Linked DNA regions of Caenorhabditis elegans. The protein of the gene in region 1 interacts with the protein of each later gene in a biochemical or structural test. Each region holds a gene or a part of one and is shown in the gene's direction. Other genes may lie near its edges. The genes, in order: gei-17, max-1, bub-1 and polh-1.

Region 1 (9,070 bases):
CTCTGGTCAACAAGAAAAAAAATGATATCGTTGTCATGACAAAATTTAGTTTTCAGTCTCTCAGTGTATGCGTTTTCAAAATTTATTCTATCTATTTATCAAAATATTTCAGGCCGATTTGATTTTCGTTGCCGGTACAGTAACCAACAAAATGGCACCTGCACTTCGCCGCATATATGATCAAATGCCAGAAGCAAAATGGGTTATTTCAATGGGATCATGTGCAAACGGAGGAGGATATTATCATTACGCATATTCTGTACTTCGTGGATGTGATCGTGTGATTCCAGTGGACATTTATGTACCAGGATGCCCACCAACTGCTGAGGTATGTGTCGAATTTTTATGATCGCTTTTAAGTTTGCCTCATTTTCAAAAATACCTTGAGTTTTGAATCTTTTTTGGAGAGTCTAGAGTTTGTTTAGTGGCTGGCTTGATGTCAGTATTAGATCTCACGTTATCGTATCAGCACACCACAGCTAATTCATTTTCTCTCATTATCCATATTTATTTGGTCCACCTGTTACACAAAAAACGCACTCAAAATCTGACTGCTCAATTAAGGATAATGAGTGTCCAGATCTCGTGCAGGCTCATTTTCCATTAATTGAGTAACAATTTGTTTCAGTTAATGTCTGAAAATATTCCAAGAAAAGCGTGTTGCTATGTTCAAAAATGAATTTTAATAATTCTATGACGTCATAATATGTACCTCACTATAATCTCGACACCCCATCATTATCAAAACTGTTTTTTTCGGGTTTTTCCGAAAAAGATTTTTGAAAAAAATTTCCCAATTTAAGAATGGTGGGCTAAGGACGGCATGATGTAATCGCGCTCCACGACCGATTGTAAATATTTCGAAAATACGTGGGTGCATGTGTACTCAATTATTGATCGAATTGGCGCGAAAGTCTTGTGTTGTCTACGCTCTCTTGCATACCATTGAGTCTTTATTTCTCTATTTCTGCTTAGTTTCTCAAGCATTCACTAATGAATATTTTGCCGTATCTAATGCAACAACAACTTGGTGTTTTGTTTAAATCTTTAGCTCTTCGAAATACTTTATCACATTCTGACTGTATCAGCGAATTTCTAATACATTTTAAATTAGTGAAATTATCTGAATAGCTTTAAAAATATTCCTAGCCTGCAGTCTTTTCTGAAAATATGTTTCGTCTAATAAAGAAAATAATTTTAATATAAAAAATTATTCCAGGCTCTTCTATACGGAGTTCTCCAACTTCAAAAGAAGATCAAGCGTAAGCGAGAAGCTCAACTTTGGTACAGACGCTAAACAGAACACGAGGCGAAAAGAAAGTACGAGAAAGTTGGAGAACTGTGAAAAAATTCGCAGAAAAATGGTCATTTTGTACGAGTAAGCCCCACTTCATTCATTTTTTGTGTTTCTCCACCTTTTCTCCATTTTCTTTTTTCTAGATCTGATATCGATAGTTTCGTTCGTTTTTTTCTGCGGTTTACTTTTTTTTTCGAATAGTGTCTATTTTTACCTCATGTTTTTTTTGGTTGAAAAAAAGTCGATAACATTTTTTTAAAGTTCTATTTTTTTCTCTCATTTTCTTTGGAACGGTTAACAACGCCGACCCTTTGTGGTTCTCTTTTTATTTATTTATTCATATTTTCACAAAGTCTGTGAATTTTTATATAGTGATTTGAAAGGAGATCACGACGCACTTTATAGCGCCGCCAAGTTTTTTTTTTTGGATTTGGTTTTTGGATTGAAAATAATACAAAAAAAGTCTGTGTGGATTGAAAATTGTATTGCGCAAATTCAAAAACACAAATTTTCTGGCGCCTCTTCTGAAAATTGCTGATCCTTTGTCACGGGCACAAACCTATCGTACACATTGATCTCATTGATTTCCTGAATGAGTTAACGTGAGTACGTTGAAATATTTTTTGCAGGATTTTGCAAAACTGATTCATCAGGTGTGCCCGTGTTTTTTGCGCGATTTTGGTCCATTAACTTCCAAAATTGGGAAATCCACACGGAACCGCGCTTTTCGAAACGCTTTTTAGGGAATAGAAAAGATCACATTTTTCTACTTTTTGTTTGTGATATTTTCACTACTGGACCATTCAAATTCGCCTTAATATCCCTTTTCCGAATCTGCAGTTTTATATTTTTCCGTCGTTTCGAGACACAGCGGAGGATCGGAGGTATTGAAATCAATATGTTACCGAATAATCAATGGCAAATACCTATAAACAATGGATTAACACATCAGGAAAATATGGCAGCACACGTGAGTTATTGGAAAATTATTGACATTTATTAAATAGTTTAAAATTCTTGTATTTTACCCAAGGATTTTTCTGTTCCAATCTGTTATTTTTCAAAAAGTAAAACTGATGGATTCCAAATTTTCAGGCAGCCGTCATGAAATTGAGAGTACACGATCTTCAGGTTAGATACCGTTTTTAATCAATCTTTATTGTTCAATACCTCAACGAGAAGGCGATGTGAATCAAGAATTTATGAATTTCAGTCGATTATCTCGCAATTGTCACTTCGAAAGCCACGTCCACAAAAATCGGAGCATCAGAAGGTCGTCGTTGAATCCTTGCGTGATCCTCATCATGCTCGGCAAATTTATCAAATGGTCATTTGTTTTTCTCGTTATTTTATTTATGTTTTTTTTTAAATGATGTTTTACAGCATTAATTTTCTCGAGTTTACAGGCTTCCAATTTCCCGAACGGAAATTATGAGGTAAGTATGAAAAAGTTAAATACTTTCAGTTAAAAAAAAACTATGTCAACTTTGATTAAATAGATGTGTGAGGTACTTTGGGTAACGTTTACCAGTGTTCTACCTCGGAGGAAATTATTCATTCACCTAGTATTGTCTCTTTACTCACACAATAAGTCTCGCATTTATCTCCACTAGCATCCTCATACCCACCATATATGTAGCCCTTTGTTTCTCTAAGTTTCCTCAAATATTTCATCCATTCTGCACTTGCTTCCTCGCAGCTCCGGCAACGGGACTTTCGCCCGTAATAAGGTGTTAAAAACCTCAAAAGCAGTGGATCTTCGAAAATTTCTTAGTTGTACTTTGCCCTGACCTTCTTTCCATGTTTCATACGTGTAGCTTGGCGCGTAGTTTTTCATTACAATTTTTATTTTACTAGATTGATTCTTTTGAATACTGTCACACTTTTTTGAAAATCAAATTCAAATTTTCACTCCTAAAGAGGTATTTGAGTTTTTTAATAATTGTTTCACTTTGAAAAATCGATATGGAAGCGAATTGGCACGATGTCGCTCGTGAGAAACTGGGAATCGTTTTTTTTTTTGTTGTTATTTCACAACAGTTGATTCGAATGCGCGTAACTATTTAAATCAATCGAATTTTTAGTTGGCTTATTATTGAAATTTTACTAAATTTTAAGAAAGTCCTGTTATCAAAACTCCAAAAAAACGGCTAGGTTTATCAATATATATCATTTCTTCGCAAGCACCTCTCCTGATGACATGTGCGCTCTATTGAGAAACAAACGTTCAAAAAATCTCTTCCGCTTTGTTTTTTATTCCCAAATGTATTTTTGCAAATGTTCTAATTGTCTAAAATATTCCACATATTTAAAGTTAGAGCCTAAAAAATTGTTTGTAAATCGTTTCTGTTTTAATAACTAAATTAAAAAATGTCAGATGCAGAAGCGACCTGCAACAACATCCCAAGTTCGGTCTCATCCATATGTGCTGCCATCTCGATCTGGAGCTAGTAATCACTTGGTCAATCATCATTATCAGCAGCAACAACAACAACAACCACAGCCTCACAATCTACTTCATCAACAAATGATGGCGTCACATCATTCACATCTGCAACAGCAGCACCATCCGTCGACGGTGAGATGGCTAACTCCTGAACTGCTCGAAGAGCAACTGAGGGGCTCGATGAGATACGGCGCTCCCGCTGCTGCTGCTGCTACCAACGCGCCGCTCCATTCATCTTTTCCTAATCATGGACGTTCTTCTCAGCAAAGTTTGCAGAAGTCGGAAAAATCAAATAGGGTGAACATTTTCGCCGCATTTTTATTGCCTGAAATTCACGATAAGAATGAACGCAAGAATATCGAGGCGGAAAGCATGTGAAGATATACTTTCGGTTTATGACCGTAACGGAAAATTTACCTGAAAAAATTACACTGGTAGCTTCTTCTGGGCACATATATCATATTGGCCAGTCGCGGTTATTTGAAAATTCCTCAATCGTGATACATTATGCAAACAAATGTCCTACCGTTTATTGAATGCACTTTTTTGAATTGCGTGTAGCATTCAAAAAAAAGAAAGAAAAATTCGAAGCTCCAAGATTTGCACGCTGTTATCACGAAATTTTCTGCATGATTCCGAATGGCGTAAAAACTAGAACAAGTGTGGTTTTAAGATATTACAGTATGGCATTCTTAGGAGCATGTTCATGAAGAAAAGCTTAATATGATAATCCTCTCTAGGCATTTCTTCATATTGCCGTGCTCAATTTTCAAATAGTTTTATTTCCAATTAGTTCGTAGTAGCATGTAAAAGTGTTTTTTTACTACCAAAAAGCAGGCATCATTAGAAATTGCGCGGCATGTGTTATACAGTTCGCTCACACGAGTTCAATGTTATCACCTGAAAATTGCTTTCAGCGTCTCTTTCTTACATTCCCACATGTCTAACCCATGTATTTTTTTTTCAGCCGAAAAAAATGTATGCTGATAATTTTGAACCGCTTCCACTTCCATTCTACGATGTTATTTCTGTTTTGCTGAAGCCTGTCGAGCTGCATTCATCAGACAGTCCAACTTTGAAGCAAACAAAACAGGTTGGTCTCAATTTACTCGCTCTCCAAGCCGGTTACCTATTAATTACTAATTTCAGTTACAATTCCCGTTCTTATTGACTGCTGAGCACATCTCCAAGATTTCGTATCGAGCTGATGTTACACCTCTTCCACGATATGAATTGCAGTTGAGGTACGTTTTATTATCATTGAAATCGGTTTAAATCCTTGTTTTCAGGTTCTTCAATCTTACTGAACCAGTTCAGGGTCCTCAAAAAGACGACTTTCCACTCAATTGCTACGCACGTGTTGATGATTCTGTCGTTCAATTGCCGGTATGAGATTTGAAACGTTCACGAAATATATTTAATTTCAAAATATCAATTATTGTTAGGAGTTACTATTTCTTCAAATTTCAGAATGTAATCCCAACAAATAAGACAAATGCTGAGCCGAAACGACCATCTCGTCCAGTGAATATCACTTCAAACATGAATAGATACAAGAAAGAGCACACAGTTGCAGTCGAATGGTTAGCCGACAAACGTGTATGGGCAGCTGGAGTTTATTTCGTTCATCGTGTTAACTCGGATATTCTCTTTAAACGTCTTAATCAGAATGTATCAAGACATCGATCACTTGAGGTTACCAAGCAAGAAGTGATCAAGAAACTGTCTGGAGGTGAAGATGATATTGCTATGGATCGTCTTAATATCAGTCTTCTTGATCCACTGTGCAAGACAAGAATGACAACGCCTTCTAGATGCCAAGATTGTACCCATTTGCAATGTTTTGATCTCCTCTCATATTTGATGATGAACGAGAAGAAACCAACGTGGCAGTGCCCTGTTTGCTCGAGTAACTGCCCATATGATAGACTTATTGTTGATGAGTAAGTTTTCAATTCACACTGACTAACTTTGATTTTAAAAAAAAGCGAATTATCTCAATTCTATGTTTTCATTATTTTTCTATTAACTCTTAGATACCGTTCCCTCACTTCGAAATTTCCAATTCTTGTGAAGACACTATTATTTTTCCAAACACAATTGTTATCTATAGCGATGGACAACACCCTTAAAATAGCCATGATGAAACGGTGATTAGGAAATTCGGAAACGCGTCGTCTAAAATAGGCATGTATTTGCAAATATAGTCTACGATTATTATCAGTAGTTCGTATTGGTCTCCAACTCAAAATTCAGCTCATGACGTAAGAGAACATGAAACAAATGGCAAAGGTCAATCATCATAATTGAGCAAGAGTTTTAATGTGTAATTGAAAATTATTATTATTCAGAAATTCAAAATCCCTGTAAATAATTCTCAATCAATTAATAATCCAAATAGTGTTCTCACTCTTATGTTTACCATGATCCAGATTCATATTGTGAACAGTGCATCATGGACAAACAACAAATTCGATGGCTAACTTCATGCAGTTTTGTGTGAAGCTGTCTGTTCGCACTATTCGCTCGTTTTCTTAATTGGAAAATACTTTTTAGTCACGGAAATGCCTGAGAAACTGCTTAGACGTTACCCAATTCAACATTTTATTTAAGAAATATTCAAATATCAAAATAAAAAGCAATGTTCTGAGACTATGCAAATATTGTTTCATCTTTCAGTTATTTCCTCGATATGCTTGCAAAGGTGGATAAGAATACGACGGAAGTTGAACTTAAGGAAGATGGCTCGTACGATGTTATCAAGGAAGAAGCTTTTTGCATCTCAGATGATGACGACGATGACGTTGTACCTGCTACTGTTAACGGTACAGCGTCATGCTCTTCGACAAATGGCAATGGACTTGCAAATGAAGCAGCGAAGAAAAAACCAGCTGACGACGACATAATTACCTTGAGTGATGACGATGATGAGGAATTGAACAGAGGTATAATGAACTCTCTGAACGACAGCTTCTCTCCTGGCAGACACACAGGTTTGCTATTCAAATGGCGTGGTGTGAGACAAGCTGAGAATATTGCAGTTTCTAGCAATATCAATTAAAAGTATTCACTTGAAATTCAAATCTTATTTCAGCTTCCGCAGAATTGGCTGCTCAAAAGACACCACCACAGCAGAAAAAGAAGACGAAAGACGATGACATAGAGATTATTACTCTCGATGATACACCACCTCGTCCAGTAGCTGCAAGTGCAAATCTTCCAATGCGTCAGATGTCTCAACAGAATCAAATGCCAGTTGGCTCATCTCCATCTGGAATGGCCTCAACGCAAATGGGAATGAACGAGGGTGCAAGTAAAACTATCCGGGATGCGCTGAACAAAATAGGAGAAGTAAGTTCAGAAAAACACAAATCTTCAAAAGAGCCAATATTGTTAGTTATTTTCCATAGTTTTAAGAGGATTTGTTCTTAATTTGACTGAAATCAGTATTCTAGTTATAACTTATCCGTTTTTAACCAAAACTAATACAAAGATTGAATTATATATTTGATTATATTATTATATGATATTGTTAAACTAACATCTGCTTCTCCCTGTCCACACTCACTAAACTGTCTGTTTGTTGCAGCAGTCAGCAAATTCATCAACACAATCATCTCCGCTTGTTCAACTTCACCATACGACACATCCATTGAATTTTGCTCAATCATCTTATATGAATCCCTCTTCAGGATCTCAAACACCTACATCACAATACGGATATTCGGTATGCCAGCACGTGTTAATAGTCTACCACACGCACTAATACTCTAGTGATATTTTTTCATAACGACAGAACAAAAAAATCCTGTTTTAATCTCTTTTTTTTCTTTGTTCAAGCCCCTATTAATTGGATAAGATACTTAGATGATTGTCCACTGCACTAGAATTCTGTCGAATTGAAAAAAATGCACTAGTTTTACGTCTGGAATTATAAACTTAACAAATATTTTTCAAAATTTTTTAAAAATTGAACTCTCGTTTTCAGCCAATGATAAACCAGGCACCACACTTCCAAATGCAAAACGGGCTCATAGGGCGAAACAATCAAATGGTTCATATGCAGCAGCACCATCTTCAGCAGCAACAACAGCAGCAGCAGTCACCACAAATCATGTCTCCGTCTTTTTATGCTCAACAGCAAATGTCAAACGGTAATTTTTTGTACACCTTACAAAGTTTTTGTATATTATGTTTAAACATCAAAACAATCACTTCACGATCTTCAGTTAATAGCGAGTAAACTTGTTGTGTAATTGCAACCATCCTGCATGCAAATATATATTTATTTCCCTTACTTGGTTTGGCCTCACTTTCAGGTGACACCAATAACATCCAACCACCACGAATTCTTTCCATGGCTGAAATACAAGCAAATGCATCTCGACTTTTGGTAAATGGACACCTGATGATCGATCACTCAGGAGTCACTATGCGCAATCCACGTGGCTCACGGAATTAATGCATGAATTGTATTTTTTGTGCCGTCTAGTTCATTTGATTTATGTGCATCTTTTACCCATATCCACGATTTACAATTTTTAACAGAATCCTGCTTGTGCTTTAGTCTAGTAAGTTATATTTGTCTGCATTATACGGCTGATTCGATGAACTTTAACTAGAATTTTGTGACGGTAATGTTTTTGTTAAATGAAGCTGAGTATCCTGTATGCAATCTTTTAAATACAATTGAAAAACACAATCCACTAATTTTAGATTTTTATTTAAAAATTAGATTTTCAATATTCAAAGTTTCAGGTGGTGCATTTGCATATTATCCTCCACAATACCCGCAGCAGCAGTATCGTCAGAATTGATTGATTTCCAATCATACTGCTTAATCTCATTCTTTTGTTTTTTTTTTGAGTTAATTTGGCTTTAATTTAATGTTCGGAACTTCAACCGACCCAATCAAATATCTCACATTTCTCTCCGTGATTTTTGTTCAATATGTTTTAATTTTCAAATCGAGCCCCCAAATCGTGTTTCTAGTTTTCCATCCATTTCATCCGATGTTTTTCCACAGCCGTGAAAATGCACAAGTGGCCTAGAAATTGTAAGAATCTAGGCCATGCGGCTTTCCTGATACCATATTTTTTTCCATTTAAATGGATGCATTTGTTCTCCAATGAATCGATTTATTTATACATATTTGTTTTAAAGAACAAATAATCAATTATAATAATTAGACCGGGGTGGCGAAATGGGAACATTTTTGAGAGAAAAAACTACCGAATCAGTGAGAAGACTAGGGGGAAAAATACAGGGAGAAATCACAAGAGAGAGAGACAAAAATGAAAGAATGAAAAATAAAATAAATATAGGAA
Region 2 (5,907 bases), on another chromosome or scaffold:
GGCCTATATTCACTATCAAAAAATTGAGTACATACATAATGTAGTGCAACTTCAACAGTGACATCAATTTCAAATCGATCACAGAATTCTAGCATAGTTTAAAAACCGGTGCCTCGAAGTAACCGGTGCATCGAAGAATATGCAAATCAACGTTTCGGCAGCTGATGTTTATGATAAAACTGTTATTCCTGCACACAGTGTCGACAAAATATAGTCATCATTTTGTAGTCAATTTCTTCCTACAATATATATCTAGAGAATTTCAAACTTGAGCAAATTTTTCTAGACAAGAAAACGGACTTTTTTGTGTACCCACTCCTATTTTTTTAATGAAAAAAAACTGAAAAAACTGAAAAAACTATAAAACCTAAAATTAGACTAATTTCCTATAAATAGTACTCGAAGACTAGGAATATTGTTAATACAACTCCATTTCTCATCAAATGACACTTATCCATCTCCTATCGGTCATTTTTCTTTGGTTCGTTCTAAAACCTTCCGGTGGTCTCTTCCAACCTTCTTCTCGTTAATGATCTTCTTCTTGTTTCCGTTGCCTCAAAGCTCCAGAACTGCCCTCTTCAATGCCTTTTCTCCATCTTTTTTCCCTTTACTTCGTCTTCTTCCATTGCCTCTCCCGGCTTCACAAAATTAATTTCTTGCGCTCATCGTCCTCTTCCCACCGCCCGTCTTCGTCCTTCCGTCTGACGTCCCGTCTTTGGAAGACTCGTCAAACTGGTAGCAAAGAGCTCATGAGCTCTCCATCCGTTTCTCATTTTACTTTGTGATAGAAGAGGGGCGTGGGTACACCAAAAAAAGATGTGTTTTTGAATCATGTTGCGAAATTTGTTCGTTATCTGATTACGGCTGCAAGAGGAAGAAAACCAACATCGAAAGGCCGTGAGGTCCAATGGGTCTTTTTGTTGACGAGAGGATTCCTCTGTTTTCTTTTTTGGTATAGATTTCTTACCTAGATGAACAATTTACGTCCTACTGTATTTGTAATAGAAAATATAACATGGATTTCTATGTTTTTTTAAGTTTGAAAAATCATAAAATAAGTAACCAAAAGTGTATTTGAGACTTCAAGCATAGTCTGCTCAAGCTGTTATTTGAATCTCTTAAAGTCTTAAATTCAGAAAGAGATATCAAAGTTAGGGGAAAATAAATTTGAATTTGAATTATTCCAAATTTAGATATTTTTAAATGTTTTTATTCTCGTTCAATTTAATGTGCATTCAATTTGTATTGCCGTAAATATTGTAAGGATGAGCCAGCCATCCATATTTTCGAAAAAAGTGGGATCTTTGTTTAATTGCCAATTGGTCTGGGTATAAAAAAGCGTTATATGTGGTTTTTTGTTCAGAATTTCATAAAAATAATATGGGTAAAACTTTCCAAAAATTCAAACCATAGGTATGACCAAGGAAAGTGTAGGCACGTAGGCGTAGGTCTCCTTGTGGGTATCGTAAATTGAAAATATAAAGAATAGGTAGATTATTTTTTTTGAAAAAAAACGCTTTGAATTTTTCCAAATTGAGAACTATCCAACTTTTTAAATATTCCCAAAATCTCAAGTATAAACAATCTTCCTCAAAACTTTCTTATCGTCATTCATCTGAAATCTCGAGTGATGGAACATTGTGCAATAGATTTGTTGAGGAGATACATACAAGAAGACACAAATTATGCAAGTGGTTTGTGTTGTAGAAAGAGACGAATTGAAGAAAATGGGGAGCATGAGAGGGAAAGAGAGGCCCCCGGATTGCACCACCAGACCTCCCAAAATCGCGCAATTTGATGCTAATACATAGCTTTTGAAAATTGGTGGTGGGGGCGGAGGACATTGGTCAAGAGATGGACATCGTATTTTATTACCACAACTATTCACAACTCATTCTTTCTTTTCATTTTACTTTATTTTTTCTTATACTTTTTACAAGAAAAAATGACAAAGAAATTCGAACTGACATAAGAGAGTCATCATTTTTGACAACTCTTTTTTCTTCTATTTCCGTTATTTTTTTCTAAATCGGCTTCTTCATCTCTCTTGAACAATTATTTCGCTGCTCTTTTCTCGGTCTCTCCCCCACTAAAAACTCTATTTTGTTTATTTCGTCTCACTCTTTTTTTTGTTAAAATTATGATTTTTTGAAGGAATGAGCGACTCAAGCGCATCCCCATTACGCTCACCAGAGGATGAGGAGCTACTCGCAAAATCATCGAGAATACGATTATGGGTTACAAAGAGAATGAAAGAGGTGAGTGATTGTTTGGTAGGGAAAATGTATGTTAATCTGATTATAAAGTTGAAAAAAAAAGGAAAATCGAGTGACTACCAACGTTCAGTTCAATCTCTATTTTTTCAAGATAAACTTCTCATGAGGACTTGTTTCTATCCTTAGAAAATCGTTTCAAAAATGTGTTATATTTGTTAACAAATTTTTGGATATTTGCCGTTTCATTTTTGATAAAAATCGATCTTGAAGTAATTAAAAATTGAGCCCAACACGGTTTTTTTTATTTTCGTCCCTATAACTCTCTGTTTATTTATGATCTTTTGCTCTCTTTCAGCACTTAAAGGGTTACTCCACCTCTGCAAATTGCGGTAAAACGTGTTTTTGATAATTTGACGACAGATTTTCTACATGAAATAAATTACAAAATTATTGTGATTTCAAACTCTGAAAACCACGCCTTCTAGAGTTCAAAAAAGGACATACTGCCTACTAGTGTTTAGGTCAGACAATAATAAAATTTCATTAAAAAATTAGTGAATAGTACAGCCACTCTAAAACTTTTGAGACTTAGAAATATGGTATAGCATTCCTTTCAATTCGATTTTTATAGTTTCCAAAATCATTAAAAAATATAACATTGATACCTAAATATCATTGAATACTTACTTCTCATTGTTACATTTGTTTTTTAGAATGGGAAAGGTACAAAAACAGGGATGTGCAGTGGTCAACAAGTAGTCATATTAAATGAACAATATTAGTCCTTATTAGTTATTCCGTGTGTATGCCAACTCATTTTGTGTTCTCTCCTCTCCTCTTCTACACCTATTCAAATGATAATCTATATACGTGTGTTCGCCCTGTTCATTTAACATTCGGAAACATTTTCCTGGTAGTTGTGCTTTTAGTTTAGTTTTTAAAAAAATGTTAAGAAAAATTTTGAATTTCCGGATTAGCCCAGCATATTTTGCGTCCTAGAAAAAACAGAAAACGCGGGAAGTGTAGCTAACCTTTCTAAAAATGGGATTTTACAGACCTGATAACTTACGATAGACTTTAAAACTTTCTAACAACTTCAAAACGACTGAGATGCCAAATATAGAATTAAACTTTTGTTAGAAAACTATCTTTATTATTTTCAAATCTAGTATACATCCTAACCATGTGTTCCCTTTTTCATTCAATCTGTTTTTTTCTTCAAACAATACTTGCTCCCACCAAATCTGCACTAACGACATAACACATTTTGAGTCCAAAAATTATGAGCATGAGCACAAACATTGTAGATGCCAACATGTTGGTTCCCCCAAGATATCAGGTTACCTTCCTGACAACATTTCTTGACGTCTCCCTTCCGACATCGTTTTCTTCTTGTTCTTCTTCATCCGGTGGTCCAACCCAGTCTGAATACCTTTTTTCTTCTACAAATTCTTACTTTTCTGGGTAGTTGACTCCGAGAGTTTGGAAGAAGACAAAGCTTTGAAATTTGCATAATGAATGAGTGACGGCTGGTTGATTTTTGAGTTTAGAACGAAGAATAGAGCACTCTGAACCTCTGACTGAATTCCCTTGAGTTTGAGTTTTCGAACGGGAAGAAGCCCATTTGTTAACTGCGTTGAGTCTTTCTACTTTTAAGAATTTCTGCTTTCAAATGGAGTAGATATTCTGAGAATATTGAACAATTTTAGAGAACAGAATTTTGAGAATAGTTACTATTTTCAGAAACTGCTTAATATTTATTTTAGATAATTTTGTTTAAAAAGGATCTATCCATTTTGCTTTCTCAGTTTCAAGAATTTACCTGCTAATTTAGTTTTTCACATTCAAATTTTTGGCGCCTTGATACCACCCACAAAGTATCATTGTTCGTTGTGAAATGTCCTCCAAAAACCTACACTCTGATTCCACATTAATCTTCATTGACACCTTGTTCCATGATCACTAATGAATATTTCGTACTACACAATTTTCTATTCATCCACTAATTCCTTGGATCCGCTTTTGCTGCTACTCGGAGATGATTACGGTTATTAAATGAGAAGCTAAACAGTTGTAAATGATGGAAGAAACTGGTTTAGTCCAGTACTAGTACATCTTTAACTCACTCGTATAGTTGTTTCTCTTCATTCTCACTCGTTTGTAATTCTGAATTTTCAATTTGGAAATTTATTTTTCTATGGTGGGTGAGGCATTTTGTGTGTGTTTGAATACAGGATGAGAAGTTCATTTTTCTGTTGTTTCACGTCATTTCAGAGTAAACGATTTGGTTTTATAGGTATTAAAAACACTTTTAACCAGACTTATTTCCAAATATGATAACATCTGTGCTGAAGCAGTTCAATATCCACACCTATTATTTATTGAAATTGAGAATAGCTGTCTTCTTCATAAACTTAACGATTTAAAAATTAAAGGAATAGTCGGAATTTTTTTTGAACAGTTTCAAATTTTATGACCTTCAGCAGAAATCAGTTCCATTTGTTTCAAAACTTTGAACTTGGTTTTCTATTGAAGTATTAAAGAATCTTGAGAGCTTTTACACGTGTTCAAATATTTTTTTTCAATGTTTTTCCTTTTCTCTCTCGCTTCGTTTTTTTGTTTGAAAAATCGTTTTTTAAAGTTGTTTCCAAAACCTTTAAATTTAAAAATTGACAAATTTCCGCAATTTATCATTTGGAACCAAACGGATCAGCAAAAAAAAATTTAGAACTACTATTCGAAATGCATGCATTTGTGTGCCAGGCTTCCCAAATTCACAAGTATACGCCACCACAAATCTCTCTTTTTTGGGCTTTTCCGTCCCGTTTTACGCTGTCCTATGGCATGTCAGTAAACCTCGGTAGTGCAGCTCGTTTTGGAAACTCTAGAAGACGTCGTATATACTCCTTCTCAACCACTTCAATCAAAAGTGTGTTCGTTTTCACTGTGAAATCATCTCAGATTTCTTTAAAATTTTCATCACTTTTTCCTCAATTTTCTTTACTTTCGTATTTTACTCCAATTTAATAGAATCTTCGAGTTGCGCAGCTCCAAGTACCCAACTTGCCCATAAAACTGTGAGTAGTGGAGTCTGAGAGCCTGGCACACATCTGCTGAACACCTTTTCACAAAATGGGAGAAAGTGTCTACAACAGGTGCTTTTTTTCACTCGGGTTCACTTTCATTTTCACCACTTTTCCATTTTATTTTTGAAACTGTACAGTAGGTGGGAATAAGGAAAAAAGAAAAAAAATTGGGAAAATTCCGTAGAAATTCGGATTTGTCTCCGCCTCATTAATCAAATTTTTGTTGCCGTTTCATTCGTCACAACGTCGAAAAACGACTTCAGATTTAGAAGGGTGTTCTTTCTCATTCTTCAAACGTGTTCCATTTGCAGTTGGCTTTTAGACCTATTTCACTTGAACATTTTTTTCAAAAAAATAGGGTAGAAGCTTTATGAAAAAGTTTTAATTCATATTTGTACATTTGATCAGAAATAAAATCAAGAACGCTGTTGTGATGTTGTAGAATCATTTTAAAAAATCTGAAATAACCCCGAAGTTGATAGTTTAAAAGATGAAGTACCAATGGGCTTAAAAATTAAATTTAAAACAATTTTAAAATGGTTTTTTGTGGTTTCCAGTCACAGTGAGATTCTTTTTGCAATTTCCGTAGATTTGAACCTTCACGA
Region 3 (6,593 bases), 1.9 Mb from region 1:
CTCGTCTATCCAATATTGAGATCCAGAGCTAAAGACTTGTCTGTCGTCATCTGCATCTGGAAGCGATTCGGGAAAGTCTTTCTTTGTGATAGATACATTCATTCGTCGTCCACATATTTCTTGAATTCGCGCTACGCGTATTTCAGTAGAATTGGAATAATTTAATAGTTCAAGACGTTGTCCAACTTTGAAACGATGCTTGCTTAGGAGAGCCTTCCCTTCATCGAATTTTGGAGACAGCGAAGTTTGGCCGACGATTTCGCCATCAATGCAATTCTGAAGTTGTGAGATGATATTAACATAAATTCGGAAAAAAACAAACTTACATTTACATAATTTACCATATCATTTTGGTATTCTTCGTTGATTGCAAGCGGCGGAGCATATACAATTTTATCCATATTGGGATCACTCATTGCGGCGCTGAAATGTTCAAATTTTACTATTATACAAATGTTTCGAAGTTTTAATACGATTGTTCTCTAGAATTTTATGTAACAGAACCATTATTTATTTAGAATAGTAGAAAGAGCTGAGCGTCCAACTTACTTTGCCAAACCAAACATATCGTCCGATAAAATATTGAGCCAAAATTTCGTGTCAGCTCCGATAAACTGAGCCAGAACTCTGTATCCGCAAACTTTTTCAATTCGTGCAAACCATCTGACTTGAATCGAATCGCAGTTCTTGTCATAATCATGGACCACTGTTTCGAACTACAAAAATTGTATTTTAAAACCGATTTACGAACAATATGAACTCACGATAACTCCTTCCTTCACGCATTCGTTAAAATTAACTGTAAGGTTACGATTGAATGCTTCAACTGGAATGAAAGAAGTTTTTCCTTTCTCGAACTGATGTAAATAGGATTCCCACAAGTAGGTCTTATCGAGTTTTCTGTCCGATTTTTTGTTAGCTCTGACAATTTTCAGAAATTCAGACATCTGAAATTAAGACTGGTTTAAAACGTAATTAGAGAGAATGTTTATTGAAATTGAAAGTTAGTTCGATTTGATTTGATATTTCTCAGGCGTTCGTCAAATTCACAGTGTACTCAATATACTCCAACCCATTGGATCCACTGGTGCTACTCAACCCGTGCCTATACTCGCGAAAATTTCCATTTTTCGTGCAATTGTGCAGAAACCACCCATAAGGCTCGAGCTTTCCAAATTCAAATCCATGATGGCCGTCCTGATAGAAAAATATTTTCTTTCGAGCAAACATAGTCATACGTCCAGTGATGTCTTCATCGCGATCCCAAAAAGTATTGCCATCGTCTTCCCAATGCGACACTGTTAATTGGAACACTTCATCAAAATCACACTTAACTTCGACGCCAAACAGAAATCTTGTCGAACTGACTGTATTGTAGAACAACGCGAAGCACAAAATGACTAATTTTAGCATTTTGATGTTCGGGAACTAACTTTTCGGACGAACAAAAACACTCTTAACTATCTGGTGACAAATTAGACTACTGGGCCACGCTAACTTCAATTATTTCGAAACATTTTGCTTTAAAAAAAAAAGAAACAAAACAGGAAAATGGAGAAAATGTTTGAAAAATAATAAAAAAGAAATGAGAGACTCAATGCAGATCCGTCGATTTCGAAACTAGTGACGAACGGACTACGAAAAAATGGGCGGGCTTTTTGTGTTATTAAAAGTGTAACATTTCAAATTAAATTCCAATTGCATACAAACACTTTTTAAAAAATTGTTTTTTTATAATTTCAAATAGCTTTAAAATCAATTTTCAGTTATAGCAATAAAGCACCGCCCAATTTTCAGTAGTGCGCAATTCTCCAGATTCAAAAGAACGTAGCCATGAGAGTGACGTCACTGAACTACAGCGAAAAACGCGCTCTATCGAGCAGGCCCGCGAAGACTCGCTTTTCAAAAAAGACGCGCGCGTTTATATCCATTTCTTGTTTTCGAAGGTCCTAAAATTTAGAGGAGAAAGAGGGATTTCACGTCTCCAATGAACTCCGTAATTTTCGTGAACCGATGATTTTTTTATTCGCGTCCTTTCTACTTTGAAAACTTGTTATTCAGATTATTTCAGAAAGTTATGTCCCACATTAGAGTGGCATTCGCTCCACTCGACACCAATCCGTCGACATGTGGTCTTGAGACGTTCGCAACGTAAGTTTCCGTATATCTTGTATTTTAAATAGTCACCACTTTCAGGCAAATCGAAACGTTGTCTCAAATGATGACCGCGGAGGAAATGAAGGCGGAATTATACGACTGCGTTAGGAGAATTTTGCGGGAGCAAAAGTTTGATCAAATTCGTGAAAACGAAGCGATGCTCCGTCTCTACAAAGTTATGGGTCGATCTAGTACAAACCTGAAGGGAAGAGGCATTTATGAACAACTTTTCAAAAAGGATCATTTCACTGGTTCGCTGAAGTTCTATCTGCAATGGGCAGAAGAATGTGGAAAAGATCAAATGCTGGAGGAATTCAAAGATGTCCTGAAGTTGGCACGAGATCGTCTTTCCGAAAGAATAGAAATGACAGCAATTGAATCGGGATTTCGCGATTTGGTCGATGAATACTTCAATGGAGAATCTGGAGATATGTTCACACGACCGGATGAGACTATGGATCTTTTCAGATTCAATGCGGGTTCTAAGAAAAAGCGTCGCTCTTCGGTTTGCTTTTTGCAACACAATGTGCCTATAAATAACTCGGGAAAAGCTGCATTTGGACCAAAAAGTAAGTTTGAAAAAAAGTTATTATTCTCATTGGAAACTTACAGCCAAAACGGATCTTCGCCAGGCGTGTATCGACAGGCCAAACTATCATGGAATATCGATTGAGGAGTTTCGTTTTGCCAAATGGAAGGACACTTTCGGAGAAGATGTTGATGACGATTACCGAAAACGAAAAGACTCTGGTGTCGTTTTCGTGAAACATCAAGTCATTGATACCGACAGACAAGCCCGCGAAGAAGTTGAAAACCGATTCAACGCCAATCTAAATCCTAGAAGACGTCATCTTTCACCAGTCAGTGAGAAAACGGTTGATGATGAGGAGGAAAAGCGAAGCCGGATTTATTCGCCGCTGGTTGCAACGAAGGATGCTCACAGACCTGCACTTCGGAGCAAAATTGAGAATCCTCCAGCGACAGTGACACTTTCGTCGGATACAAAGTCTGCTTCGGAGAAAGATGTTAGTGATTCCGATGATGCAGATGATGATGAAAGACTCAAGATTATGACTGCCGGCAGAAAAGATGGTAACCCTCCAGACCGTTCCACAAGCATATCTTCCAACTATTCAACTGCTTCTGCAAGAACATCAAAGAGTGGAGCTGGATTGGATTTGATGGCGGAAAATAAGTGTTTGGAGGCACATGCTATGTTTTCCGACACTGTACATCTTGCTAGCGAAAAGACAATGGTCCTTGGCGATGATTCTGTCTTCGTTCCAGAAAGATCTTTAGCTACTACGCAGATAGTTACTGACTTTTCCGTGCTCTGTGATCCTGATCCGACAATGACCATTACACAGGAGCGTCCGAAAAAAGTGTCGAATGGGTTGAATGTTGTTTACGATGAGGCAGCCGAACCGGAAGAATCTCAGAAAGTTGAGGAATCTGAAGTACAACCCGAAATTGTCCTAGTTTCTCCAGTGACGCAAACCTCACCAGCTACAATGTTTAATGATAGTGGGTTTATCGAAAAATATAACAACTTATGTTTTAATTTTTAGTTTATGACGATGAAATCGAGTTTGGCTTTTTCAAACCGTCTCGTGGTAATTTCGTCACATCGACCCCCGCACAAGGAGTTCATTTGGTCAACATTGATGAATATTTCGGAAATAAAGAGGAGGAAAGCACTCACGAACAGGAAGCTCCAGTATTTGTTGCTCCAACCAGCAGTACTTTCAGTAAATTAGTAAGTGCCAGACAAATTTTCGACATACTATTCAAACTTTTTCAGACACGTCGAAAGTCACTAGCAGCAAATCAAGCCGTTCAGCCCTCAGTCACAGAGTCATCAAAGCCTGAACGATCAGATCCTAAAGATTCATCTATCGATTGTTTGACAGCTAATCTAGGAAGACGTCTTTCAATTGGTGCTGATGAAATTCCAAATCTCACTGAAAACAACGAATCTGAAATCACTGGTTGCAAGATTCGTCGGCGCAGTGAAATTATCAAGCAAGGAGACATCAATCCATGGGACGAAACTCTTCGAAAAAAATTGATGTGTCTTGTGCGTCCTCCCCAGAATATGCACGAGTTCCAAGAACGAGCACCGAAGATTCAAGCTCTGAGAGACTGCGAGGTTAGCGGAGAAAAGCTCCACATTCAAACTCTTATTGGTCAAGGTGGATACGCTAAAGTATACCGGGCTGTAACCGATGATCAAAGGACAGTAGCTGTGAAGTACGAGGTGCCATCATGTTCGTGGGAAGTGTACATTTGCGACCAAATGCGGAATCGCCTGAAAGATCGAGGTTTGGAGCTGATGGCCAAATGTTGCATTATGGAAGTGATGGATGCTTATGTTTATTCAACTGCTTCGCTTCTTGTTAATCAGTACCACGAATATGGAACGCTGCTTGAATATGCGAATAACATGAAGGATCCGAATTGGCACATAACCTGCTTCTTGATTACCCAAATGGCCCGAGTTGTGAAGGAAGTCCATGCCTCTAAAATTATTCATGGAGATATCAAACCGGATAATTTTATGATCACCAGAAAGTATGGGAAAACATTTGTTAATTTTAGACGTTATCTTTTTTCAGGATCGATGATAAATGGGGCAAAGATGCTCTGATGAGTAACGACAGCTTTGTCATCAAGATTATCGACTGGGGACGTGCCATTGACATGATGCCACTGAAGAACCAGCGTTTCAAGGGAAGAGCAGGAACAGAAGCGTTTGATTGCCCGGAAATGGTTGACGGTCGTTCTTGGACTTACCAAGCCGATTACTTCGGATTCGCCGCAACAATGGCTGTCGTTGTTGCAGGAAAGTATGCACAGTTGACTGGAGCTAGCGTTGGAGACTATTCGTTAAATGTCGACATCAAGAGGCGCAACATTCTTCGCGATGCTTGCTACGATGTCATTAACAGATTCCTCAACATCCCTTCGTGTGATTCACTTCCGGACTGGAATATCCTGATCAAGTCTTTCTCGGAAATCTGGAATGAAAAGTTTGAAGCATCGGGATGGCGACAGGCGGTTTCCAAGTTCAATGAGGCCTGTGATCTTGCCGCCAACCAAAAGTAGCCCAACACAATGAATTTGTATTTCGTGCTCTTATTGCTCTCTTTTATTGTCTTTTGTATTGATATCATGTGAATAAACTCGTTCGGAGCTTTAATAATTGTGCATCTAATTTATTTCTGGTAAAACAAATTGAATTAAACGAAGTTTTCAGTTTTTGAAAGCTTTCCAAATTTGAACGTGATATTCGAGATTGGGCGCGGCGAGACCCATCACGGTAGAAATTTGATGCGCCTTTAAAGGGAAGTATTGCAATAGATCACAGTTAGATCTAAATAGTTGCACATTCGTTTTGTTTCATCAACTGTTTTCTTCGCGTTTTGCATAAAATGTGATATTTAAAAAAGAATTTAGAAAAAATTACAATTAAAATATTTTCCAGCCATCCTCTTGTAAAAATGGAAGAATCAGATCAGACTGTGGTGAGCGCTAGTGTTTAATCAACTTATTTTGCAAAAAGTTTCAGCTTTTACCAAATGTCGAAAATGAAATTGGCAGTTTTTATCATGACATGCCTGATGAAAAATTGCTTCGTCATATCAAAGCAATTTTCGACGAAGCTTCACTTCGACCATCTTTGGTATTTAATCTTCATTGAAACCTCAACATAAAGTTAGAGTTGTAGACTAAAAACGTGCCATCCACATCTTCACAAGTCACAGAGGAATTGAATAAAGTTGAAATCAGAGATCCAAAGCATGAAATGCAAGATGAGGTTGAAATATAAATTTGGTAAAAATGCTGTATAATTTTCGAATTCCAGCAATATCTTTCAATATTCGAAAATCCGTCCGGAGTTCAGTACAACCAAGCTGATGGCTCATTTTCGTGGAATAATCGCTTCCATAGTGTAAAAACCAACTGTAATTCATTTTCTAATGAACATTTTCAGGACAACAGCGTCCAATACATAAACGTGTTGAACAACTATGGTTGTGAAGGTGCTGATACACTATTAAATCAGTCAGACAGTAGCGATGAAACCGATGAAAGTATCGAAGAAAGACGGACCCCACGAGGAAACCGGCAGTCGCGTAGTAATTTGACATCGAAACCCTCTGCCAAATATTGGACAAAAAGAGGAGGAGATCCAATTGTTAATTGCTCGGTTAGTTCATTTTAGTTCTATATCTCATTCTCTGTAAATGAACAAAAACCTTCACTATTATCACTATTATACCATATCACTATTATAGATTTATTTATTACAACTTAAAAGTGTGTACCAACCATCAAATTTCTCAAAATCTAAAGCATAACATTCTGAACATGATTTTATTCTTCAATTTCAGTGCTCAATATGTGGATCCAAATTTTCAACCATTCGCTGTCTT
Region 4 (8,521 bases), on another chromosome or scaffold:
TCTTTATCGTGTCACGACGTTTCACGGCTTCTCCTCGCGTTTTCAGATGATCCTCGATGTTTTTTCCCTGGAAAAAATTGGATTTACGCTAAACAACACGCGTCAACGATGCTCCGTTTTCAAGAGCAAAAATGCTCACTTTAAAGTCCTCGAACCATCCGATATTGTCAGCGATGATGTGATGGTTGTGACAGCCGGAGCACGTGACAATGACAACTCCCTTCTCGTATGATGACTTGGCAAATGTTTTTGGGCCCTTGAAATTATTAGGAATTTCAAATCCAGTTTTCTAGCTTTCTTGGCTCAAACCTCCCGGGAGTTGCACACTTTGCAGGTGTATGACAGGGACAACTGGGGCTCTTGCTTCCCCAGTGGAGTGGCTGAAAGTCTGGGAACTGTCTCGGAGAAGCTTCTCGATGCTCTATAGAGAGCTGAAACTGCTGAGCGGAGCATTCTGAAAAATTCGTGGTCCCCGAAAACGAAACCCAAAGGTTTTAAAAGATATTTAGAAACCCTGAAAAGTTGGATGCCGAACTGAACACACGACTCGGTTGTAGTTGTAACAACAATTTATTTGTAATAATAACAAACAAAAAATTAGGGTTTGGATTTAGAAGAAGAATCCGAGAATCTTTCCTCCCAAATGCTTTCTTCTGGCCTCCTCGTGATCCATGATTCCGGCGGAGGTGGTAAGGATGAGATATCCGAACTGACGGGATGGGAGGAGGGTGTTGGTGTACTTCTCCAAATCGTTTAGACGGATGTTGAGACGTGGGGAGATGACGGAGGCCTTGTTGAGACGTCCGGTGAGGTTGACGACGATCTTTCCGGCGCGGTGGTCGTCGACGATCTCGAACTCTCCGATGTATCCGTGCTTCATCATGACGGTCAAGAAGCGGACGATGACCTGGAAAATTATTGTTGCGATGGGAAGGGACAGGTGGAAAACTAGAAATACGGAAAGTAGATGTTAAGCTGGTTACCTTCAACATTCATATCCCAGGAAGATCTCCAGATTGAGAGAATCTAACCAAGGGTGTCTCCGTTTAATTAGAACCGAAAGTTATGTTTGGAAATAAAACCGAGTTTCTTTCACTAAATTCTAAATTCACGGAGAGCCTTGGTCATTTTTTGCGACCGAGGCTGCCAGCATCATCATCTATTAACAAAAATGCATTGAGAATTCTCGAAGAACGACGCGAATTTACCTTGGAGGCTGGACGGATGAGAACCTGACGCTTTCCGCGCTTCTCGGCGTTGTTGATGGCGTTGAGCGCATCGGCGAGGACGTTCATGCGAACCATGTCTGCTTGTTTTTACCTGAAAATTCGGGAATTCATTTTTACAAAAATTATGAGAACGCGAAGCAAAACAGACACATTTCGATGAATATTTGTAGGTATTTCGCATCAAAACTACTGGAAAATGCTTAAAACCACAAAAAATGGAGAAAATCACCTAAAAATCACGGAAATTCGAGAAAAGTATGTGAAAAACTTCGTTGGCCTACGCCTTTCCACCGCCTATGCATTAACGTTGAATACTCAGCCAAGCAGCCAAATCGTCTTAGTGGAGCGCGATTGCAGTGCACTTTAGGCGGGGTTTCAAACATTGATTTTGGTTTTTTTTTGTTTTAAAAATTCGTTTTTTCGCAATTTCCGGCTTTTTTTCTTTTTTTTTTCAACTTTTCATAGTTTTTGAATATTTTCAGACACATAAAACATGAAAAGAGTGATCAGCCTCATCGATATGGACTGTTTCTACGCACAAGTCGAACAACGGGACAATCCATCGCTTTGGGGACAGCCGGTGATCGTCGTGCAGCACTCCAGGCAGGGTATCGAGGGTGGGTAAGCTGAATTTTAATCTGAAATTCTCCAAAAAAAGCCCGAAATTTCCAGAATTTTGGCTGTAAGCTATGAAGCCCGCCCGTTCGGAGTGAAACGAGGGATGACGGTGGCCGAAGCGAAGTTAAAATGCCCTCAAATATCAATATGTCACGTTCCGATTGGAGAATATGTAGATAAAGCTGATATTCAGAAATATCGGTTGGAATTCTTATATTGAAAAAGTCCCAAAAATTGCTATTTTTTCAGCGACGCTAGCGCAGAAGTCTTCCGGGTGCTGAACAATTACGACTCGCAAATTATAATCGAAAAAGCGTCTGTCGATGAGGCTTTTCTTGATTTATCCGCGTATACTAATCAAAAATTGCAAGAATTGAGAGAAAACGAGGGATTGGAGGAGTTTTTGCAGGTAAATCTAGCTTGAAAAGTTGAAAAATGAGAAAAATCCCCCCTATTTCAGCATCTTTTTGCAGAATTAGCAGTTTTTTCAAGAAAAAAAACGCGAAAAACCTGATTTTCCGCTAAATTCAATTAATAAAATTCAAGAATTTCAAATTACCTCTAAAAAACGTGCCAACCGCGACGCGACCGCTCGCGCCGGGCGGCACTAGGTCCACAGGTTTTTTGCCGTTTGTTAATGAATTTTCAAGCAAAATCCATGATTTTTTCGCTAAAAATTGCCTAATTTTCGCATTTCAGGCTGCTATTACCTACCTCCCAACCACACACCTCGCTACCGGAGAAGATGTGAAAGAAAATGAGCACCTACGAGAAGATGTGCTGCTGGAATATATTGAAAATGCGAGAAATTGCACGGAAAACCTGCTTTTACTGATTGCCGCGGTCACTGTAGAGCAAATTCGGCAACAAATTCACGAGGAAACCCAGTTTTTTTGCTCGGCGGGTATGGATTTTGCCGGAAAATCCAGAAAAATTCATTTTTTGGGGGGAAAAATTCGCCCAAAAATCGCAATTTTCCATTTTCAGGCGTCGGAAACAACAAAATGATGGCGAAATTGGTGTGCGCCCGGCATAAACCACGCCAACAAACGTTAATTCCGTGGTTCTATGTTCGAGAAATTCTCCGGCTTACGCCAATCGGAGATGTTCGAGGATTTGGCGGAAAAATGGGAAATCGCATTCAAGAAATGCTTAATATCACTGTACGGAAGCGAAAATATTCAAAATTCCAAGTTATTTTCAGAATTTTCATCGAAAAATTATCTGAAATGTCTGAAATCTGCAATTTTAGGCGTTTTTATACAATTTTTAAATATTTTTCATTGAACCTAGAAATTTGGAAATACTCAAAAAAAAATCAATTTTTTCTGGCAAAAAAAAAAGAAATTTTGAGATTTTCTCAGCTGAAAATGTGTGAAAAATTCGATTTTTGACGGTAAAAAGTCAACATGGTCGTGAAAAAATGCAGGAAAATTGAGAAAATCAAAAATTTCTGCTAGAAAAACCAAAAAAAGCTTTCTTTTTTGAGAAAAATGAATAAAAATGATTCCTAGCGATTTTACTGTATCTACTAAAAATCAATATTTCCCCTGTGACTTGTGCGTTTCTCAGATTTTGGCATAAAAACTGCATTTATTCACATTTTCAGCCTTAAATTGGCTTAAAATGTGAATAAATACCGTATTTCTGCCAACAATTTGACAACAGAGCACATTTGTCACTCGGAGATGCGGAAGCTATGCCCAAATTTTCAATTTTTCCCGAAAAACTTGTGATTTTCACAGATTTTCAGTCGAAAATTCGAGTTCCCCGTCACTTTTTACCCCCGTAACCCGGTTTTCAGCAAATTTAGACTAACTGTCGTAAAATTCGGTGCCAAATACGCAAGACTCGGTGTTTGCGTACTTTTGGGGCTACCGTACCCCTCGAAATTCAAATGTTGAACTAGCAAGCTGGAAAAACTTGATTTTAGGGTAAAATGAGGTGGGGATTTCAAAAATCGAACTGAAAATTCGATATTTTCAGTGAAAACTCAAATTTTTACAAATTCTGCGGGTTACGGTAGCTCTGAAAGTACGCAAACACTGAAAAAATCTAGAAAATTTTTTTTTTCCAGTTAATGGGTGAACTGCTCGAAGTGGACATTTCACAGCTCATTGAAACATTTCCGAATCAACACGAATACCTGAGGTCCGTGGCCGAGGGACACTGCGATGAACCAGTTCGGCCACGCAAGGAATCCTCTTCCATCGCTGTCTCCAAGAACTTCCCCGGAAAATTATCGATTCGATCGGTGTTGGAGCTGAAAAAATGGCTCGACGGGCTCACGAAAGAGCTCGCAAAGCGTTTGGCAACGGATCAAGCGGAAAATAAGCGAACTGCCGAGAATCTGGTGTACTCACTGCTCACAGAGGACGGGAAACCACAAAAAACGCTGAAAATCACCAGTTATCACCCGGATACACTTTTTGAGCAGATTTGGGCAGCTATGAAGGGATTAAATAAGACAAATGCCACTAAAAATGAGGGTAATAATAAAAAAAAATTAATTTTTATAGCTGGAAATTTGAAAAAAGTACGCAAAAATTAGAAAAAAAGCGGCAAAAACACTTTTTTAACAGTTTTTTCAGTAAAAAAAAATTTGTGGCCTAGTTTTTAGGATTTCTAGGCCACCTGTTGGAAAATGCCGGTTTTTAGATTTTTGGATTAAATATTTGAAATTTAAACGATTTCGACTGAAAAACAACGCATAAAACCGCAAATCTGATACAATAATTGAGTATTTGCCCTAAAAATACGATTTCCCGTGGCTTTTCACTGAAAGCTGACAAAAATTTGAATTTTCCCCAGGAAAATTCCAAAAATCACCAAAAGTCGATATTTCTGTGACAAATGTGCTCTATTATCAAATTGTTGGCAGAAACACTGTATTTATTCACATTTTCAACCCTAAATTGGCTGAAAATGTGAATAAATACCGTATTTCTGCCAACAATTTGACAATAGAGCACATTTGTCACTCGGAGATGCGTAAGCTATGCCCAAATTTTCATTTTTTCGGAAAACTTCAGATTTTTCACTAATTTTTTTCAATTTTCAGTCTGTTTTGAAGCTTTTCAGTGAAAAAATCGAATTTCCCGTTAGTTTCTAAGTCTAAAACTCGGAATTTGAGTTTTCCGGGGTACTGTAGCGCCAAAAGTACGCAAACACCAAATTTCTCACGGCAAAATGCAGAATTGTCTGAAAAATCGCGAAAATTGTCTATCAAGGGGTAATAATAGGCTGTGAATTCAAATTTTGCTCGAAAAATTTATAAAAACTTGAAGTTTAACAAGAAAATGCCAATTTTTTAGAAAAAATTTTGAAAACCCATTTTTTTTTCCAAATTTCTTAAATTTCCTCAATTTCTAAGTATCAAATTCGAATTCTCCACTGATTTTCAACCCTAAAAACTATTCTTCTGGGTTTCTAGCTCCAAATTTTAAATTCGCAGGGTACGGTAGCTCCAAAAGTACGCAAACACCGCGGAGCTTACGAAAAAATGCACAATTTTCAAAAAACTTGAGAAAAGCATCGCGATAGGGGTAATAAGTACTCCGGAATCCGAATTTCCTAATGAAAATTTATAAAATTGAGAGGTTTTCTAGATTTTTTCAAAATTTTCATTGTCAGACTCCGGTCCCTGGACACCGCCAATTCTCAACATTTCACTATCAGCGACACGTTTTCAACCCGGAATTCCTGCACAAAATCGATCGATTCACGAATGGCTTTACGAGAAAAAAACGCGAAAATCGCGTCGAAAAGCGGCGATTTACGATGAAAATGATGGTCGAGAAGATGTGATTTTTGTTGAACCGCCGGAAAAAGTACCGGAAAATGATCAAAAATCCGAGTTTTTAGTGAAAAAATCGAATTTTTTTCAGCTGAAAAAGCCGAATCCAACACCAAAATCCACTGGAACAGACGGAGATTTCATTGTTTTAGGCTCAGATTCGGATGATGACGTTGTACAGCCAAAAACTGATGATAATTGGATTTTTGTCGATGGAAAGAAATTTTCAAAAATGGCCTGGAGGCACCTACCGCCTGACATTAAAAAGGTGCCTGAAAACTCGGAAAAATCCGGAAAAAATCCGAATTTTAGACGGAAAAATGCGAAAATCGGGCCATTTTTATGTGAATTTTGAGCAAAAAAAATCGATTTTTTGAGATTTTACTGTTAAAAAATGTTTTAAACTCAAATTTCGCCAAAAATTTGTCAAAAAATGAATTTTACTCTGAAAACTTGGGATTTTTAATTAAAAAATAGAGTTTTCAATGAAAATATCGAATTTTCAGTTCGATTTTCGCAATCCCCACACAATTTTACCCCAAAATCAGGTTCTCCTGGCTTTCTAGCTCGAAATTCGAATTTCCCGGGGTACTGTAGTCCCAAAAGTACGCAAACACCGGAGGCCTTACGACAAAATGCACAGTTTTCTGAAATTTTGCGAAAATATGTAAAATAGGAGTAAAAATGGCTTCTGAGTTCGATTTTCGTGATGAAAATGCTTAAAAACCAACTTTTTGAGCAATAATTTTAGAAACTACAATTTTTACCATATTTTCGGAATTTTTCTCAATTTCTAACTATCAAATTCGAATTCTCCGCCATTTTTCACTTCTGAAACCCGTTTTCCTGGCTTTCTAGCTTGAAATTTGAATTTCCCGGGGTACTGTAGCGCCAAAAGTACGCAAACACCGAGCATCCGACGACAAATTGCACAGTTTTCTGAAATTTTGTGAAAATATGCAAATTAGGGGTAAAATGGTGCTCTGAATTCGAATATAGCAGTGAAAAACTAGTGAAAATGCCTGATTTTCGAGTTTTCCTATAAAAAACTTGTAATTTTTCAGCATTACCAACATCGAATAGCGTTGGAAGAAGCTCGAGCGCTGAAATCGAAGACTGGTGGCTCACGGAAAAGAGCCGGAGCTCACACGGACAATGCTCAAAAACCGAAGAAGCCGAAATCGCTGGAATCGTTTTTCAAAAAGAAGAAACCCTAACAATTACTTCTGTACAATTTTGACACGCATTTTTCTAGCTAAAAAATATGAATTTTTCACTGAAAATTTGTTTTTTTTTTCCCGTAGATTTCCACAAATTATTCTCAAAAATCTTGATTCTTATCAACGTTTTCACGCATTTTCAATGCAAAATTTGAACTCAGAGCCTATTATTACCCCCCGGAAAGTCAATTTGTGGGATTTTTCAGACATTTCTGCATTTTGTCGTGAGGTGCTCGGTGTTTGCGTACTTTTGGAGCTACCGTACCCCGGGAAATTCAAATTTCGAGCTAGAAACTCAGAAAAGTAGTTTTTAGGGCTAAACATCAGTGGAGAAATCGAATTTGATACTTAGAAATTGAGGAAAATTACAAAAATTGACATTTTAAAAACTTTTGCTTAAAAAGTCGCATTTTCTAGTTTAACTTCCAGTTTTTATGGATTTTTAATGCAAAATTTGAACTCAGAAGCTATATTTACCCCTATATAGACGATTTTCGCAATTTTTCAGATATTTCTGCATTTCGTCGAGAGGCACTCGGTGTTTGCGTACTTCTGGAGCTACCGTACCCCGCGAATTTAAATTTTTGAGCTAGAAGTTTAGAAAAGTAGTTTTTAGGGGTGAAAATTATCAAAGAATTCGAGTTTCTCAAAGTTTTTGCTTGAAAGGTCGAATTTTCTAGTTTAACTCCTAGTTTTTATGGATTTTTAATGCAAAATTTGAACTCAGAAGCCATTTCTGCCCCTATATGGACGGTTTTCGCTGTTTTTCAGATAATTCTGCATTTTGTCGTGAGAAATTCGGTCTTTGCGTACTTTTGGCGCTACCGTACCACTGGGCCCTCAAAATTTGAGCTAGATGTCCAGGGAAAAGAGTTACAGGGGTAAAAATAAGCGTAGATTCAGATTTTTGAAATGGAATTTTAGGAAAAATCAATGTTTCATTGATTTTTTGAAATTTTCTCGAAATTTAATTTAAAAAAATTTTTTTTTTCAAAATAAACCTTTCTTCGATTTTCTCAGATTTTTAGCTAATTCTAGAAAATATAAAAATATAAAAAATCAATTTTTACGGCATTTGGTGTTTGCGTACTCCCGAAGCTGCAGTAACCCAAAAAAATTCAATTTGTTTTAATTTTCAAGCTAGATGAGTGGGGAAAACAGCTTAAAGGAGTGAAATTAACAGAAAACAAAATTATAAGCGATAAAAAATTTAGAAAGTATTTTTTCAAAAAAAAATTCCAAAAAAAAAAAAATTTTTTTTTTAATTTTCCAAAATATTTTTTCAAATTTTTTTGTTCAAAAGTGTTCCCAGCACCAAATTTTGTGTAGTTTTCAATGATCCCTACTAAATCACCTCTACTCGCCGGCCTGCGTCTCTCCGAATTAGCCCACACTCTCGCACCACACACACACACACATCACAACGTGAAGAGCCCCCGCAGGAGTAGGACCACCACACACGGCTGTCATTTCCCCACGCCAACAATCAGAAAAGAAATCGAATAACAACACAACTTTTCGTCTCTATTTCTACTTATTTTCTGCTATTTTCACCATTTTCCCCGGTTTTTCACCGAAAAAATCCGAGTAAAATGACGAAGCCGGTGGGCTGGTGTGCCACGTGGCTTCCCATGATTAAGTTGGCTCAGGCAGTGAGT

The links.
Region 2: of the proteins of gei-17 (region 1) and max-1, one has a biochemical effect on the other in vitro, tested with the Caenorhabditis elegans proteins (one study listed by BioGRID).
Region 3: of the proteins of gei-17 (region 1) and bub-1, one has a biochemical effect on the other in vitro, tested with the Caenorhabditis elegans proteins (one study listed by BioGRID).
Region 4: of the proteins of gei-17 (region 1) and polh-1, one has a biochemical effect on the other in vitro, tested with the Caenorhabditis elegans proteins (one study listed by BioGRID).

The regions. Positions count from the first base shown.
Region 1 is NC_003279.8:9,100,665-9,109,734, reverse strand, and holds gei-17 (E3 SUMO-protein ligase gei-17), read left to right. Parts: upstream 1-2,152; 5' UTR 2,153-2,195; coding exon 2,196-2,267; intron 2,268-2,392; coding exon 2,393-2,428; intron 2,429-2,510; coding exon 2,511-2,624; intron 2,625-2,703; coding exon 2,704-2,733; exon of another isoform or gene 2,734-2,747; intron 2,748-3,037; exon of another isoform or gene 3,038-3,135; intron 3,136-3,415; exon of another isoform or gene 3,416-3,628; intron 3,629-3,674; coding exon 3,675-4,040; intron 4,041-4,710; coding exon 4,711-4,836; intron 4,837-4,892; coding exon 4,893-4,987; intron 4,988-5,032; coding exon 5,033-5,129; intron 5,130-5,213; coding exon 5,214-5,686; intron 5,687-6,422; coding exon 6,423-6,736; intron 6,737-6,837; coding exon 6,838-7,094; intron 7,095-7,332; coding exon 7,333-7,470; intron 7,471-7,731; coding exon 7,732-7,897; intron 7,898-8,062; coding exon of another isoform or gene 8,063-8,205; exon of another isoform or gene 8,206-8,412; intron 8,413-8,501; coding exon 8,502-8,560; 3' UTR 8,561-8,889; downstream 8,890-9,070. Other genes in the region: nduf-7 (putative NADH dehydrogenase [ubiquinone] iron-sulfur protein 7, mitochondrial), read left to right, coding at 113-328, 1,220-1,297. UniProt on the Caenorhabditis elegans protein: Functions as an E3-type smo-1 ligase. Mediates smo-1 conjugation to air-2 in vitro and is required for proper chromosome alignment.
Region 2 is NC_003283.11:13,106,585-13,112,491, reverse strand, and holds the start of max-1 (PH domain-containing protein), read left to right. Parts: upstream 1-2,156; coding exon 2,157-2,258; intron 2,259-5,119; exon of another isoform or gene 5,120-5,391; intron 5,392-5,536; exon of another isoform or gene 5,537-5,684; intron 5,685-5,907.
Region 3 is NC_003279.8:7,249,870-7,256,462, forward strand, and holds bub-1 (Mitotic checkpoint serine/threonine-protein kinase bub-1), read left to right. Parts: upstream 1-2,071; 5' UTR 2,072-2,077; coding exon 2,078-2,151; intron 2,152-2,196; coding exon 2,197-2,726; intron 2,727-2,769; coding exon 2,770-3,681; intron 3,682-3,725; coding exon 3,726-3,913; intron 3,914-3,958; coding exon 3,959-4,728; intron 4,729-4,772; coding exon 4,773-5,262; 3' UTR 5,263-5,354; downstream 5,355-6,593. Other genes in the region: Protein lin-61, read right to left, coding at 1-276, 327-423, 550-716, 765-947, 1,051-1,413; ztf-15 (C2H2-type domain-containing protein), read left to right, coding at 5,658-5,681, 5,726-5,839, 5,885-5,974, 6,023-6,109, 6,152-6,367, 6,552-6,593. UniProt on the Caenorhabditis elegans protein: Serine/threonine-protein kinase essential for spindle-assembly checkpoint signaling. Plays a key role in the recruitment of the checkpoint proteins bub-3, mdf-1 and mdf-2 to unattached kinetochores. mdf-1 recruitment is independent of bub-1 kinase activity.
Region 4 is NC_003281.10:1,943,459-1,951,979, reverse strand, and holds polh-1 (DNA polymerase eta), read left to right. Parts: upstream 1-1,710; 5' UTR 1,711-1,722; coding exon 1,723-1,850; intron 1,851-1,901; coding exon 1,902-2,048; intron 2,049-2,096; coding exon 2,097-2,256; intron 2,257-2,546; coding exon 2,547-2,751; intron 2,752-2,834; coding exon 2,835-3,010; intron 3,011-3,924; coding exon 3,925-4,336; intron 4,337-5,480; coding exon 5,481-5,677; intron 5,678-5,734; coding exon 5,735-5,911; intron 5,912-6,707; coding exon 6,708-6,860; 3' UTR 6,861-6,922; downstream 6,923-8,521. Other genes in the region: F53A3.7 (DNL-type domain-containing protein), read right to left, coding at 1-67, 140-256, 310-453; rps-15A (Ribosomal Protein, Small subunit), read right to left, coding at 611-907, 1,209-1,304; F53A3.1 (MARVEL domain-containing protein), read left to right, coding at 8,456-8,515.